3 linked regions of the Macaca mulatta genome follow. The protein of the gene in region 1 binds, or shares a complex with, the protein of each later gene. Links are inferred from orthologs where the notes say so. Each region holds a gene or a part of one and is shown on either strand. Other genes may lie near its edges.

The links.
Region 2: the proteins of RANGAP1 (region 1) and SENP2 are in contact, whole or in part, in a crystal structure (PDB 2IO3), measured with the Homo sapiens proteins. The link is inferred for Macaca mulatta from reciprocal best matches to the Homo sapiens genes RANGAP1 and SENP2. Residues at the interface, in NP_001265580.1 of Homo sapiens: Glu467, Asn508, Thr511, Thr514, Arg515, Val518, His519, Leu523, Lys524, Ser525, Glu526, Asp527, Val529; in NP_067640.2 of Homo sapiens: Tyr408, His409, Trp410, Val477, His478, Asp495, Met497, Gly498, Gln499, Lys500, Pro536, His537, Gln541, Gln542, Asn544, Gly545.
Region 3: the proteins of RANGAP1 (region 1) and RAN are in contact, whole or in part, in a cryo-EM structure (PDB 9B62), measured with the Homo sapiens proteins. The link is inferred for Macaca mulatta from reciprocal best matches to the Homo sapiens genes RANGAP1 and RAN. Residues at the interface, in NP_001265580.1 of Homo sapiens: Ser29, Gly58, Asn59, Thr60, Asp86, Thr89, Gly90, Arg91, Leu92, Arg93, Ile96, Asp121, Ala123, Phe124, Gly125, Asp127, Asn151, Cys152, Gly153, Met154, Gly155, Arg189, Asn190, Arg191, Gln217, Asn244, Asp245, Asn246, Thr247, Asp273; in NP_006316.1 of Homo sapiens: Asp18, Gly20, Tyr39, Val40, Ala41, Thr42, Leu43, Gly44, Val45, Glu46, Glu70, Lys71, Leu75, Arg76, Tyr79, Asp91, Thr93, Ser94, Arg95, Val96, Thr97, Asn100, Lys123, Asp128, Arg129, Lys130, Lys132, Lys134.

Annotation. Positions count from the first base shown.
Region 1 is NC_133415.1:10,253,330-10,256,972, reverse strand, and holds part of RANGAP1 (ran GTPase-activating protein 1), read right to left. Parts: intron 3,489-3,643; coding exon 3,375-3,488; coding exon of another isoform or gene 3,336-3,374; intron 3,015-3,335; coding exon of another isoform or gene 2,958-3,014; coding exon 2,858-2,957; intron 2,772-2,857; coding exon 2,687-2,771; intron 1,494-2,686; coding exon of another isoform or gene 1,482-1,493; coding exon 1,298-1,481; intron 1-1,297. UniProt on the Homo sapiens protein: GTPase activator for RAN. Converts cytoplasmic GTP-bound RAN to GDP-bound RAN, which is essential for RAN-mediated nuclear import and export. Mediates dissociation of cargo from nuclear export complexes containing XPO1, RAN and RANBP2 after nuclear export.
Region 2 is NC_133407.1:97,766,930-97,770,572, reverse strand, and holds part of SENP2 (sentrin-specific protease 2), read right to left. Parts: intron 2,888-3,643; coding exon 2,836-2,887; intron 2,166-2,835; coding exon 2,102-2,165; intron 921-2,101; coding exon 747-920; intron 1-746. UniProt on the Homo sapiens protein: Protease that catalyzes two essential functions in the SUMO pathway.
Region 3 is NC_133416.1:138,253,245-138,257,409, reverse strand, and holds the start of RAN (GTP-binding nuclear protein Ran), read right to left. Parts: upstream 2,878-4,165; 5' UTR 2,846-2,877; intron 2,381-2,845; 5' UTR 2,371-2,380; coding exon 2,335-2,370; intron 2,130-2,334; coding exon 2,045-2,129; intron 1,963-2,044; coding exon 1,837-1,962; intron 429-1,836; coding exon 241-428; intron 1-240. UniProt on the Homo sapiens protein: GTPase involved in nucleocytoplasmic transport, participating both to the import and the export from the nucleus of proteins and RNAs. Switches between a cytoplasmic GDP- and a nuclear GTP-bound state by nucleotide exchange and GTP hydrolysis.

The sequences.
Region 1 (3,643 bases):
GCCAAAGTGGGTCCCCGGAGAACTACAGTCCAGCCTGGGTAAGCCCTGCTAGCACCAGAGGTGCCCAGAGAAAAACCCGAATTGAGGCGCACCTAGCCATTTGTTTAACTGCTTCCGTAAACCAGAGAAGCAGCCCAATCAGCGTAAGTGTGGGGAGTCCTTGTCCAAAGCCAAGTTCTCCAGGAGCTTTACTTAGGAACCTGACAAGGAATGCAAATGAATGAACTGGAGGTGTGGCAGCCCTGATGCCACCAGCCCCAGGCCAGACACCAAGTGCCCAAGCCAAGTCACGGCCCAGCCACCATCCCAGGAATGGGGGAGCAGTTCCTAAGGGTCACCAAGACAATCTTCTGGTGGGTGGGAAAAAAAAAATTAGAATTTCCATTCATGCTTATTTGTTTATTCTTTCAGAAATCCTTACGCATATATTATAATATACGTAATGCAGCAGCACTGCTACTTATAAATAGACATTTATATTGGAATAAATAGAAATATAGGTAATTATGGCCAGGCGCAGTGGCTCAACACCTGTAATCCCAGCACTTTGGGAGGTTGAGGCGGATGGATCACCTGAGGTCAGGAGTAAAACAAAGACCAGCCTAGCCAACACGGCGAAACCCTGGCTCTACTAAAGATACAAAAATTGGCCAGATGAGGCTGGGCGCAGTGGCTCACACCTGTAATCCCAGCACTTTGGGAGGCGGAGGCAGGCGGATCACGAGGTCAGATCAAGACCATCCTGGCTAACATGGTGAAACCCCATGTCTACTAAAAATATAAAAAATTAGCTGGGCATGGTGGCGGGCACCTGTAGTCCCAGCTACTCAGGAGGCTGAGGCAGGAGAATGGTGTGAACCTGGGAGGCAGAACTTGCAGTGAGCCGAGATCATGCCACTGCACTCCAGCCTGGGCGACAAAGCGAGACGCTGTCTCAAAAAAAACATTGGCCAGGCGGCAAGCACCTGTAATCCCAGCTATTTGGGAGGCTGAGGTATGAGAATCGCTAGAACCCAGGAGGCAGAGGTTGCAGTGAGCTGAGATCACACCACTGCACTCTAGCCTGGGTGACAAGTGAGACTCCGTCTCAAAAAAAAAAAGAAAAAAAGAAAGAAATATAGGTAACTATCATTACACTGAACCATTTTCTTTTTTTTACTCAATATCATGCAATAAAAAAAAAAATGTTTGTGGCTACTGTGCTTAAGGAGACACCCCCTACCCCATTGTGAAAGCACCTCAGGATTTCACGTTCTCAGGACCAGGGCTCTGATTGTGGCAAATGATAGAAACTCACCCCAGTGTTAGGGTCCAGAATCTTCTGTGAGGGTGTGGCTGACTTCTCTCCCTGCCCTCCCTGCTGAGGCTCCTCCTCTTCCTCCTCCTCTTCTTCTTCTTCCTCTTCCTCCTCTTCCTCCTCCTCCTCTTCTTCGGCTTCCTCTTCTTCTTCTCCTTCCTCCTCCTCCTCGTCCTCGTCGTCACTGCAGAAAGAGCTGGCTGAAGCAGATCCTCTCTACCCAGCAGCCCAGGTTGGCTGCAAGGCCTGGCTCCATGAGCCCAGAGACCTCAGCTCAGCCAGGCGGGAGAGAGCCTGGTGGGGTGGGAGCACCTGCTCCCAGGGCAGGGGTAGGTAGATCACCAGAGAAATCCACGCTGTGGACACAAAAGAATCACATCTTGTTCCTGTCCTCGAGGAGCCCCAAGTTTCATGGGGAGACAGAAAACGAAGACAGCTTTGTCACATCCAGAGCCCAGGGCTTGGCAGGAACACTGCCCAGGTTGAGATGCCAGCGCAGGGGGCGCCCATATCCACATGACCTCAGGAAGCTACAGGCGTGGGGGAGGAAGTAGAGTAGGAGTGTCCTTGCCCCACAGGAAGGCTGGTCCATTTCCGAGGGACTGTGGGACCTGTAAGGTTCAGCCCACTTCGGAGTCCCCAGTTCCCAGCCTCAGCTCAGGGCCTAGCACCGAGGAGACACGACTGAGTATCTGACGCATGAATGAGGCTGACTTGGAGATGAAAGGAGTACAGGGAGCCAGGTGCTTGATGGCCCAACCGGACTTGGATCCAGAAGATGGCCACTCCCCGGTCACCCACCTTCGCCTCCAGGTAGACTCCCCAGGCCCCACAGTCTCTTCCTTTCTAGAGTCAGCATCTTAAGAACAATACTGAGTGCAGCCCCTTCTGGCTACCCCCACCTCCCACCCCCATCACTCCCCAGGCCCCACCACATCAGGATGAGATCTGGCCTCACCCCTTCAGAGGCCTCCCCAACTCCACCACTCTACAGGGTGGCCCCGCTTAGCCCGGACGAGATCCTCTGTTGAATGGACAACTCATTCTGTCTCCTCCGTCATGAGACAGAAACCCTGAGTGTCCCACCCTTATAGCTCTGATGCCTAGTGTATGACCTGGTACATAACAGGAGTGCAACCAACATTTCTGAATAAATACAAGTAGAAACAAATAAAGGGGCCAGGTGTGGTGGTGGGTGCCTGTAATCCCAGCTACTTGGGAGGCCGAGGCAGGAGAATCGCTTGAACCCAGGAGGTGGAAGCTGCAGTGAGCTGAGATCGCACCACTGTACTTTAGCCTGGGCAACAGAGCAAGACTCCGTCTCAAGAAAAAGAAAGAAAGGAATGGCCTGACCCCGACCTCTGGGGCCGCCCACCCTGAGTTCCCTACCTGAGGGACGCCAGCACCTTGGCCATGTTGAAGCCCTCCAGCACCTCCTGAAGCTGTTCACAGCCTTCTTCTCCCAGGGTGTTGCCTGCTCAAGGGGAGGGAAGAGCAGTCAGCCCGGGGTGCCAGGGCCAGCCCAGCAGACCTGTGCAGAGGCCTCCCCCATCTGACTACCATTCAGGTCCAGCTTCTCCAGCTCAGTTTTGTCTGCCATGGCCTCGGCAACAGCCAGGGCAGCGTCCCTCTTGATTTCACAGAATGACAAGTTCAGCTCCTGAAAATAAGAGGAAGGGTTGGAGGCAGGCAGAAACCCAGGCCAGGACACCAGGTTCTACTCTAAGCCTCAGTTTCCCCAAGTGAGAATATGGCAGGCTCTGTCCTCAGGATTGGGCAAAGTGGGCAGGAAGAATAACACCAACAACAAAAATAATGCCCTGCAACCAACGACGAGTCACGTACTGAGCGTGTTTACTCTACGACAGTGACGCACACCACCCCTGCCTCCCACTTTAGAAATGAAGAAACCACGGCTCAGAGGGGTGTGCAGGCTCACACAGCACCACAGAGCCCGAAGTGGGGGAGCTGGGATATGGATGCAGGCCTGCCTGCCTTCAGACCAGACCCCTGCGCCCCCAGCCACCCCACCACCCACAGACCCCAGAGGGAGGACGTCAGGCATCCAGGCTGGCACCTTTAGCTTGGGCAGGCCGCCACGGATGGCATCTGCAATGGCAACGGCACCCTTGGAGCGCACCAGGCAGTCCCCAAAATTGATCACCTCCACCTGCCGCAAGGTCTTCAAGGTCTGCAAGGTGGAAGTAAGGGTCCAGAGTGAGGGTGCAGGCCATACCCCAGCCCTCAGCAAGTCCCGGGGGCCCCACACGGTCACATCCCACATCAGCCACCACACACTGTCCTTCTCTGCAAGTCACTAGCTTTGCTGTCTTCTTGTAGGCCTCT
Region 2 (3,643 bases), on another chromosome or scaffold:
CCCAGCCACTTGGGAGGCTGAGCATGGAGAATCACCTGAACCCAGGAGGCAGAGGTTGCAGTGAGCCAAGATCGCGCCATTGCACTCCAACCTGGGCAACAAGAGTGAAACTCCATCTCAAAAAAAAAAAAAAAAGAAGAAATTATTTTCTTCTAAATATATGCTTCCTCCCCCAGCACACAGCTTCACTATTTTATGGATCTCTCTCTCTCTCCACCTGCATGCCCAATATAACAGTAAGTATTCAAGAGATTTGCCTACTAGGGCAACATTGTAGAGGAAGCCAAGATGTGGCACATCTTTAAGAATTTTAACTACCTTCATTCTTCATGTTCTGTAAGTTTTTATTATTTTCAAATGCAATAATCAGCAAAAGGGGCATTTTAGTAAACTGTAACCACTTTTTTAAAAAATGCAATGAACTTATTCCTAATACCAAACCCATACTATATAACTCAACATATTTGAAGGTTAGAATTTACAAAGAATCTGTTGTATTCCAAGATATGAGATGATTGTGTTGACTCACATTTGCTAAATATCAATCTGATCCCTTAGGCCACTAATGATCATGACTCACTAAAGATCAATGTAGTCAAAGTGAATAAACAGACTATGGACCTGATTTGTTTTCATACATTCATCTCTAGTCTGGAGAAAGTCCTCAAAACAAAATATTCAAGTTTAGAATAACTGAGGTTATTTAAAGACATGCCTCTTTTTAGGATCAATACAAAGAACAATACCTCTGTGAGTTCAAGGAGATCGTCCGTTCTTCTGTCCCTCTCTTTGCCTGAGCAATTCTTTTCCTTTGTCTCAATTGACACTTTCCTCCTGAGTAAGCCATTGCTTCCGCTGCCCAGGCGGAGTCGGGCCGACACTTCTTCTGATAGGTCGGGCTCCAGTTGGTATCCCCTCCTCTGATCAAAAAAGTATCTAAATTCTACTGACATGTTTGATACTTGCAAATATAAACACGGATTACACATGAAATATAAAACTGCCACTAATGTGAAAGAAAAGAGAATTAGCAAATCCCCCAAGTGAGTAGATTTACCATATCTGTCTGTCCCTGCAAGGGGGAACAAAAAAAGCTCCAGACCTAGGCCTCACAGGACCCTCAGTTACAAACCATGAAACAGAACACTCACCACCTTCCCTGGAAGTAGCAAGAAAAGTATTTTCAGTTCTCCTATCACAATTAAAAACAGTATGTTTAAAAGATATTATGAAAGTTTTAAACAGCAAAAAATATGACCCACAATCCCATCACTCAGAATAAATCCCTACTATCTTTACCGTAACTAAACTTGGTTCTAGTTCATCCTTGTAAAAAGTCATTTTATATGACAGAAAATGCACAAAACATTAACATACCACTTACTTCATTTTTGTAAAATGAACAACTATATAACCACAATTGTGGTAAACAAATAGAATTCTGCCAGCACCCCAGAACATATCATCTCTTTCCAGAGATGTATGACTTTTAAGAAATTCTCCCTAAGAAGCCATAAAATGTAGGTAATGTGTTGGTATGGAGGCAGGTTGGTCTCTCATAAACAAAGGTGGCTACTGTAGAGGCAAAACTCCAACAACTCAGAAGGCAGAAAAAAGTTGTGTATTTTCAATGTTTCCTGTTGCTTTGTTGCCTTTTTTTTTTTTTTTTTTTTTTGGAGACAGAGTCTCACTGTGTCACCCAGGCTGGAGTGCAGTGGTGTGATCACAGCCCACTGCAGCCTTGACCTCTTGGGCTCAAGCGATCCTCCCACCTTAGCTTCCCGAGTAGCTGGGACTACAGATGTGCCACCATGCCTGGCTAAGTTTTAAATTTTTTTGTGGAGACAGTCTCACTATGTTGCCCAGGCTGGTCTCAAACTCCTGGGCTCAAGTGATCCTTCTGCCTTGGCCTCCCAAAGTTCTGGTATTACAGGTATGAGCCACTGTGCCTGGCTGGCTTGCTGCTTTTTTAAAGAAAAACAACAGAATTAACAATCAAAGTAACACACATATATATATACTTTTTCTTGCTTTTCATGGGCACCAAAACATAAGTTATGTAAGAACACAGATATCAAATGTAACGGGGATTTTCACTTACACTTTCATTTTCAAATCTAATTCCGATCATCTTCTCCGTATCAGAAATTTTCCCCTTTGAACACCTAAGGAAACAAATTGAGAGATGACAGACTTCTGCTAGATGACTTACATCCTAGTTTTAGAAATAAGATTTCATAATTTGTAAATAAAAATTGCCTTGAGTTTATACAATACTCTAAACCAAGAGTCGACAAACTTTTCTGAAAAGGAACAGACGGTATTTTAGGCTTTGCAGGTTTTATGGTCTTGGGCACATCGTGGCAACTCTGCCACTGTAATTTAAAAGCAGCCATAGATAGTGTGTAAATGAATTCGCATGTTCCAGTAGAAATTTACTATACAAAAATAGGTAAGTAGACCAGATTTGGCCCATGGGCCATAGTTTACAAACTCTGCTGTAAACCATCATCCCAAAATCCTAAAGCATGCAGAGCTGCCTTTACTGTTCCTATCCTAAAAACACTGATCACTAGACATCCCCACACCAACCAAACTCCCATCTAAGAAGCATGTGTTTCTCCCAACCACTGATGCCTGAGAGATAAAGGGCACCCCCCAACCCACCAGGCTAGGGTGGGCATCTGACACAAGAGCTAGCTACCTATCTACCTAAATATGCTGACCAACTACCAGAACTCAAGAGAGTTCACAGTTCCTCAGAACTGCTTACTCATAAATATGGCTTAGAAAATAAGAAAATATATATTAAAAGAATGAACTGAATATACGTACCTCTTTTCACTTCTCAATGAACATAGAGGTCCCTTTGTTTCAACAAGTCTATCTGTGAGGATGGTAAAGAAAAGATTAAATGTTTCCTTCATTAATGAATAATATAGTTAGAATTTCAGGTTACAGAGTTTCCACAATGTCAAGACATTCCTATACATTGAAATGCTACAGTGAATTCCAAAGACACTAGCCTCCCTATACACTAAGTTGCCTAAAAAAATGCATACATATCTTTGCTACATATCTTTGTTGTTTAAATATAATCTTTACTATAAACTGAGTGATATCTGCTCATTTGGTAAGCTGTCATTTAGTGGACAGTAAGTGGAGAAATATAAGGAAATTGTTATATAGGGAATATAATAAAATTTCAGCTCACAAAAGAGTTGCTACTATCTAGCAGCTTAAGGATAATTATCCAGAGCCATGTTATGAATCTACTTCACCTTGAAACAGCTGTTCTACTAAACTCCTAGATAAGCCCCAGTCAATGCTGTGAGGTTTTTTTGTTTTTGTTTTTTTGAGACAGAGTCTCGCTGTCGCCCAGGCTGGAGTGCAGTGGTGTGATCTTGGCTCACTGCAACATCCACCTCCCAGGTTCAAGCGATTCTACTGCCTCAGCCTCCCAAGTAGCTGGGATTACAGCCAAGTGTCACCATGCCTGGCTAAGTTTTGTATTTTTAGTAGAGATGGGGTTTTACCATGTTGTCCAGGCTGGTCTTGAACTCCTGACCTCAGGTGACCCACCTGCCTTGGCCTCCCAAAGTGCTGGGATTACAGGCGTGAGCCACCACGCCTGGCCCAATGC
Region 3 (4,165 bases), on another chromosome or scaffold:
GGTACATGCCTTTAATCCAGCTACTAGGGGAGCTGAGACAGGAGAACTGCTTGAACCCGGGAGGCGGAGGTCGCAGCGAGCCCAGATTGCGTCACTGCACTCCAGCCTGGGGGACAGAGCGGGACTCCATCTTGGGAGAAAAAAAATCATTTCCATATATAATAGACACTGGTCAATTTCATGGTCTTACATACAATCTCCGCTAAGAGAAATAACTCAGGAAGTTTTAATTTTACACACCTGAAGATTCTTCTTTCGGTGGAAGACAATGGATTTCGCCTTCACTTTCCTGTCCTTAATGTCCACTTTGTTACCACACAACACAATGGGGATGTTTTCACACACTCGCACCAGATCTCTATGCCAGTTAGGCACGTTCTTGTAAGTAACTCTCGATGTTACGTCAAACATGATGATGGCACACTGGGCTGAAAGAAACAGTTGCGGTAATTAGTACACTGTTTACCACACAAGTGAAGAATGCTAAGAACCGCAGACTAGGATTCAACTATAGTCTTAGACCTCAACAAGGCACCTAGATCTCTCCCCTCACTTTCAAAGTCTCTTTCAATTCTAAGAACATTAACACAGAACTCTTCCTAAGAAAGATGAGCTGATTCTATCAAATCTCCCTGATAAACTTCACCATTAATACTCCCCTCATCCCCAAAACACTATCTGAAGTAATTAATGCCAAGTGAGATTCTGGAGAACCAAGCTGCCATATTCTGAGGGTAGGGCCTGGAAATAGTCTTCAGAAAGTCTTTAAATGGCCGACTATACTAGGAAATATCATTCCTGTCTTAAAAACTCCAGATAGGCCAAGCGATGTGGCTCATGCCTGTAATCCCAGCACTTTGAGAGGCTGAGGTGGGTGGATCACCTGAGCTCATGAGTTCCAGACCAGCATGGGCAACATGGTGAATCCCCATCCCTACCAAAAAAAAATACAAAAATTAGTCAGGCAAAGTGGCAGGTGCCTGTAGTCCCAGCTACTCAGGAGGCTGAGGCTTAGGAGGCGGAAGCTGCACTCCAGGTTGGGCAACAAAACAAGACCCTGTCTCAAAAAAAAAAAAATTAAATAACCCAGATAAAGTCTATATACTCACCTGCAGGAATAACTATGGTACAGTTAGTAAGGCAAGAAACCACAACTTTTTGGTTAAAGGATTTTTTGGGGGGGAAATTCTTGTGTTTATATGTACACGTTCAAGAAGAGCAAAAGGCATGGAATGATTCCAGATAATGTGTTATTAGCAACGTGAGGTTCCAGGAGAGATGAGTATTTTGTTTATTCCTCTCTTTTTGGTACAATGAACATTTTCCTTGAGATTTTTAAATCAAACTATTTGAGAAAAATACTCTGCACAACTTACTACAAACAATTTAACAAGAAATCGGCTAGTCTTGTATAACACTTGTTAAGACCTCCTATCTCCTCTGGTCTAGTATCTGGTGTTGCTTTGTAATGGACTAGAAATATTCATTGATCGCCACACCAAACTACACACAAGAACCAAAGTTTTCAAATACTGAAACTGCTGTTAACAGCCTGTTATTGTTTTAAACATGACTTATAAGTTCCAGTGTAAGTCATAGGTTTTTCTAAACCATGCCTAGCATGACACAGCATGCAACTTTCATAAAATTTTCTCCTCTGCCACCAAAATGGTGGTCAACTCCCTGAAGTCCACGTCTTTTTTTAACCCAGAAATGACACAATTCCCATTACAGTATTAAGCACTATTTGTTGGAACAGACCTGATTTTCTATAACCTTGAAAACTGAAGTACACAAAACCTCTCAAAAACTGTTCAGCAAGTTACAAATGCCTACCTTGGATATAATAGCCATCTCTCAGTCCGCCGAATTTCTCCTGGCCGGCTGTGTCCCATACATTGAATTTAATAGGTCCTCTGTTGGTGTGGAACACTAGGGGATGAACCTCAACACCCAAGGTGGCTAAAACGGAAACGACATGATTGAGTGGATGAATTTACCCATTTCTCACGTATTTCCACAAGCAAGGTTTTCCTGCACATACCTACATACTTCTTCTCAAATTCACCAGTCAAATGACGCTTCACGAAGGTCGTTTTTCCAGTACCACCATCACCAACCAATACAAGCTGTTGGAGAACACATTTGGAAGTAAACCCAAAACACTTCACCTCTCAAGATCCCAGAGTCATGGAACTTTAACCATCACAGGCTCACTTAAAACAAAGAATATGGATGCGGGGCCCCGTTACAGCCATCGTGGGTCCGGGAGGAGGGACCCGCGAGTCGCACGCGGTCGGACTCGGCCGCCTCCCGCCCCGCAGGGTTACCTACTTTGAACTGGACCTGGGGCTCTCCCTGCGCAGCCATCGCGGCGTTCCTGCGGAGGCAGAGGACGGAGGCGAGCGCTCGCGCGGCCCCGCAGCCCATGGCGGCCCCGCTCCCGCGCCCCCAGCGCCCCACGTGCCCGCCCCACAAAGGCCTCCCGCCCGCGGCGCCATGGCGGCCGGGCCTCGGAGCGGGAAGGCGGCGGGCGGGGCCGGCATCCGGGGCGGCGGGGCGCGGGGAACGGCGGACGGAGGAGTCGGGATAGGGACGGGACTGAGACCGGGACGGGAATGAGAGCGGAGGATGAAACGGGGGTTCGCGGGGGCGGGCGCCGACCCCATGCCCGTCTCCTGCCCCGGCACGGCCGGGCCCGCGCCACCCACCTACTCACAGCCGCCCGCTGTCCCTGGGCCCGCCACCTGCCCCGGCCCTGACCCCGGCTCCGGCCCCTATCCCGCCGCCGCCGCCCCTGTCCCCGCCCGGCCCTGCCCCCGCCCGGCCCGCCGCGTCTCACTACCTTCCAGAAGCGTCTCCGCGCCCGTCCGACTGAGGCTGGAAAGATGGCGGAAGCGCAATTCAAACGCCGGAGACGCAGCCGACGCCGGCGCGCGGGCAGGGGCGGGGCCGACGGGGGCGGGGTTGACAAGGGGCGGGGCAACGGCACGGCGCCCGCCCACGTGGCCCGCGCGTGCGCGCGCGCACGCACGCAACCTGGTTCAGTCGGCCGCTGCGGCCGGCGCTGCGCTTAGGGTGGGGCGGGAGGCGCGATGGACCGCGTGGGAGGGCGAGCCGGGAGCGCGCACGCATGCCGGCCCGTGGGGGCCACGTGCGCCGGCGCCCAGGGCGGGCTCGGGGGCGCGCATGCGCTGACAGGGAGGCGGCGCGCCCCTGGGCGGGAGTCGTTGGGCGCGGCCGGACTGTCGCGGCCGTGCTACCTCTTGGGTGGGAGGCGGTACTCGCTTGGGCAGACGCGGTCAGGCACGCGGCTTCCAGGCGCTGGCCAGCCAGTCCTTGTCTGTGCCCCGTGGGGTTGGGGTACTTGGGGTCCTGGGGCTTAGGATGGCGCTCGCGTGCGCGCAGGACGGGTGAGTGACAGAACGGATGAATGAATGAAGGGATCCTAGGCTGGGCCTCCAGAGTCAGCCCGCGGCTCTGTCTCTCCAGATCGCAGCCTTCACGCCCCCAGGACCAGGGCCAGTTGGAGAGCGAGGAACCAGAGAGGGATGCCCCCACCCCGGAAAATGGCTACTTATTTTTTTTTAAGAGACAGAGTCTCGGCCGGGTGCGGTGGCTCACGCCTGTAATCCCAGCACTTTGGGAGGCCGAGACGGGCGGATCACGAGGTCAGGAGATCAAGACCATCTTGGCTAACACGGTGAAACCCCGTCTCTACTAAAAAATACAAAAAACTAGCCGGGCGAGGTGGCGGGCGCCGGTAGTCCCAGCTACTCGGGAGGCTGAGGCAGGAGAATGGCGTAAACCCGGGAGGCGGAGCTTGCAGTGAGCAGAGATCCGGCCACTGCACTCCAGCCTGGGCGACAGAGCCAGACTCAGTCTCAAAAAAAAAAAAAGAGACAGAGTCTCGCTATTTTGCCCAGGCTGGTCTCGAACTCCCAGGCTCGAACGATCCTCCCGCCTCAGCCTCCCAATTAGCTGGGACTACAGGCGCGCACCACATCCGGGGTAATTTTTTTTCTTTTTTTTTTTTTTTTAATTTTTAGGGACAGGATCTTACTATGTCTCCCAGGTTGGCTTCAGGGGATCCACCCGCCTCGGCCTCCCAAAGCGCCCAGCTTCTCAAAGCGTTTCATAGGTTGGCAGCCTTGGCCGCTGCGTC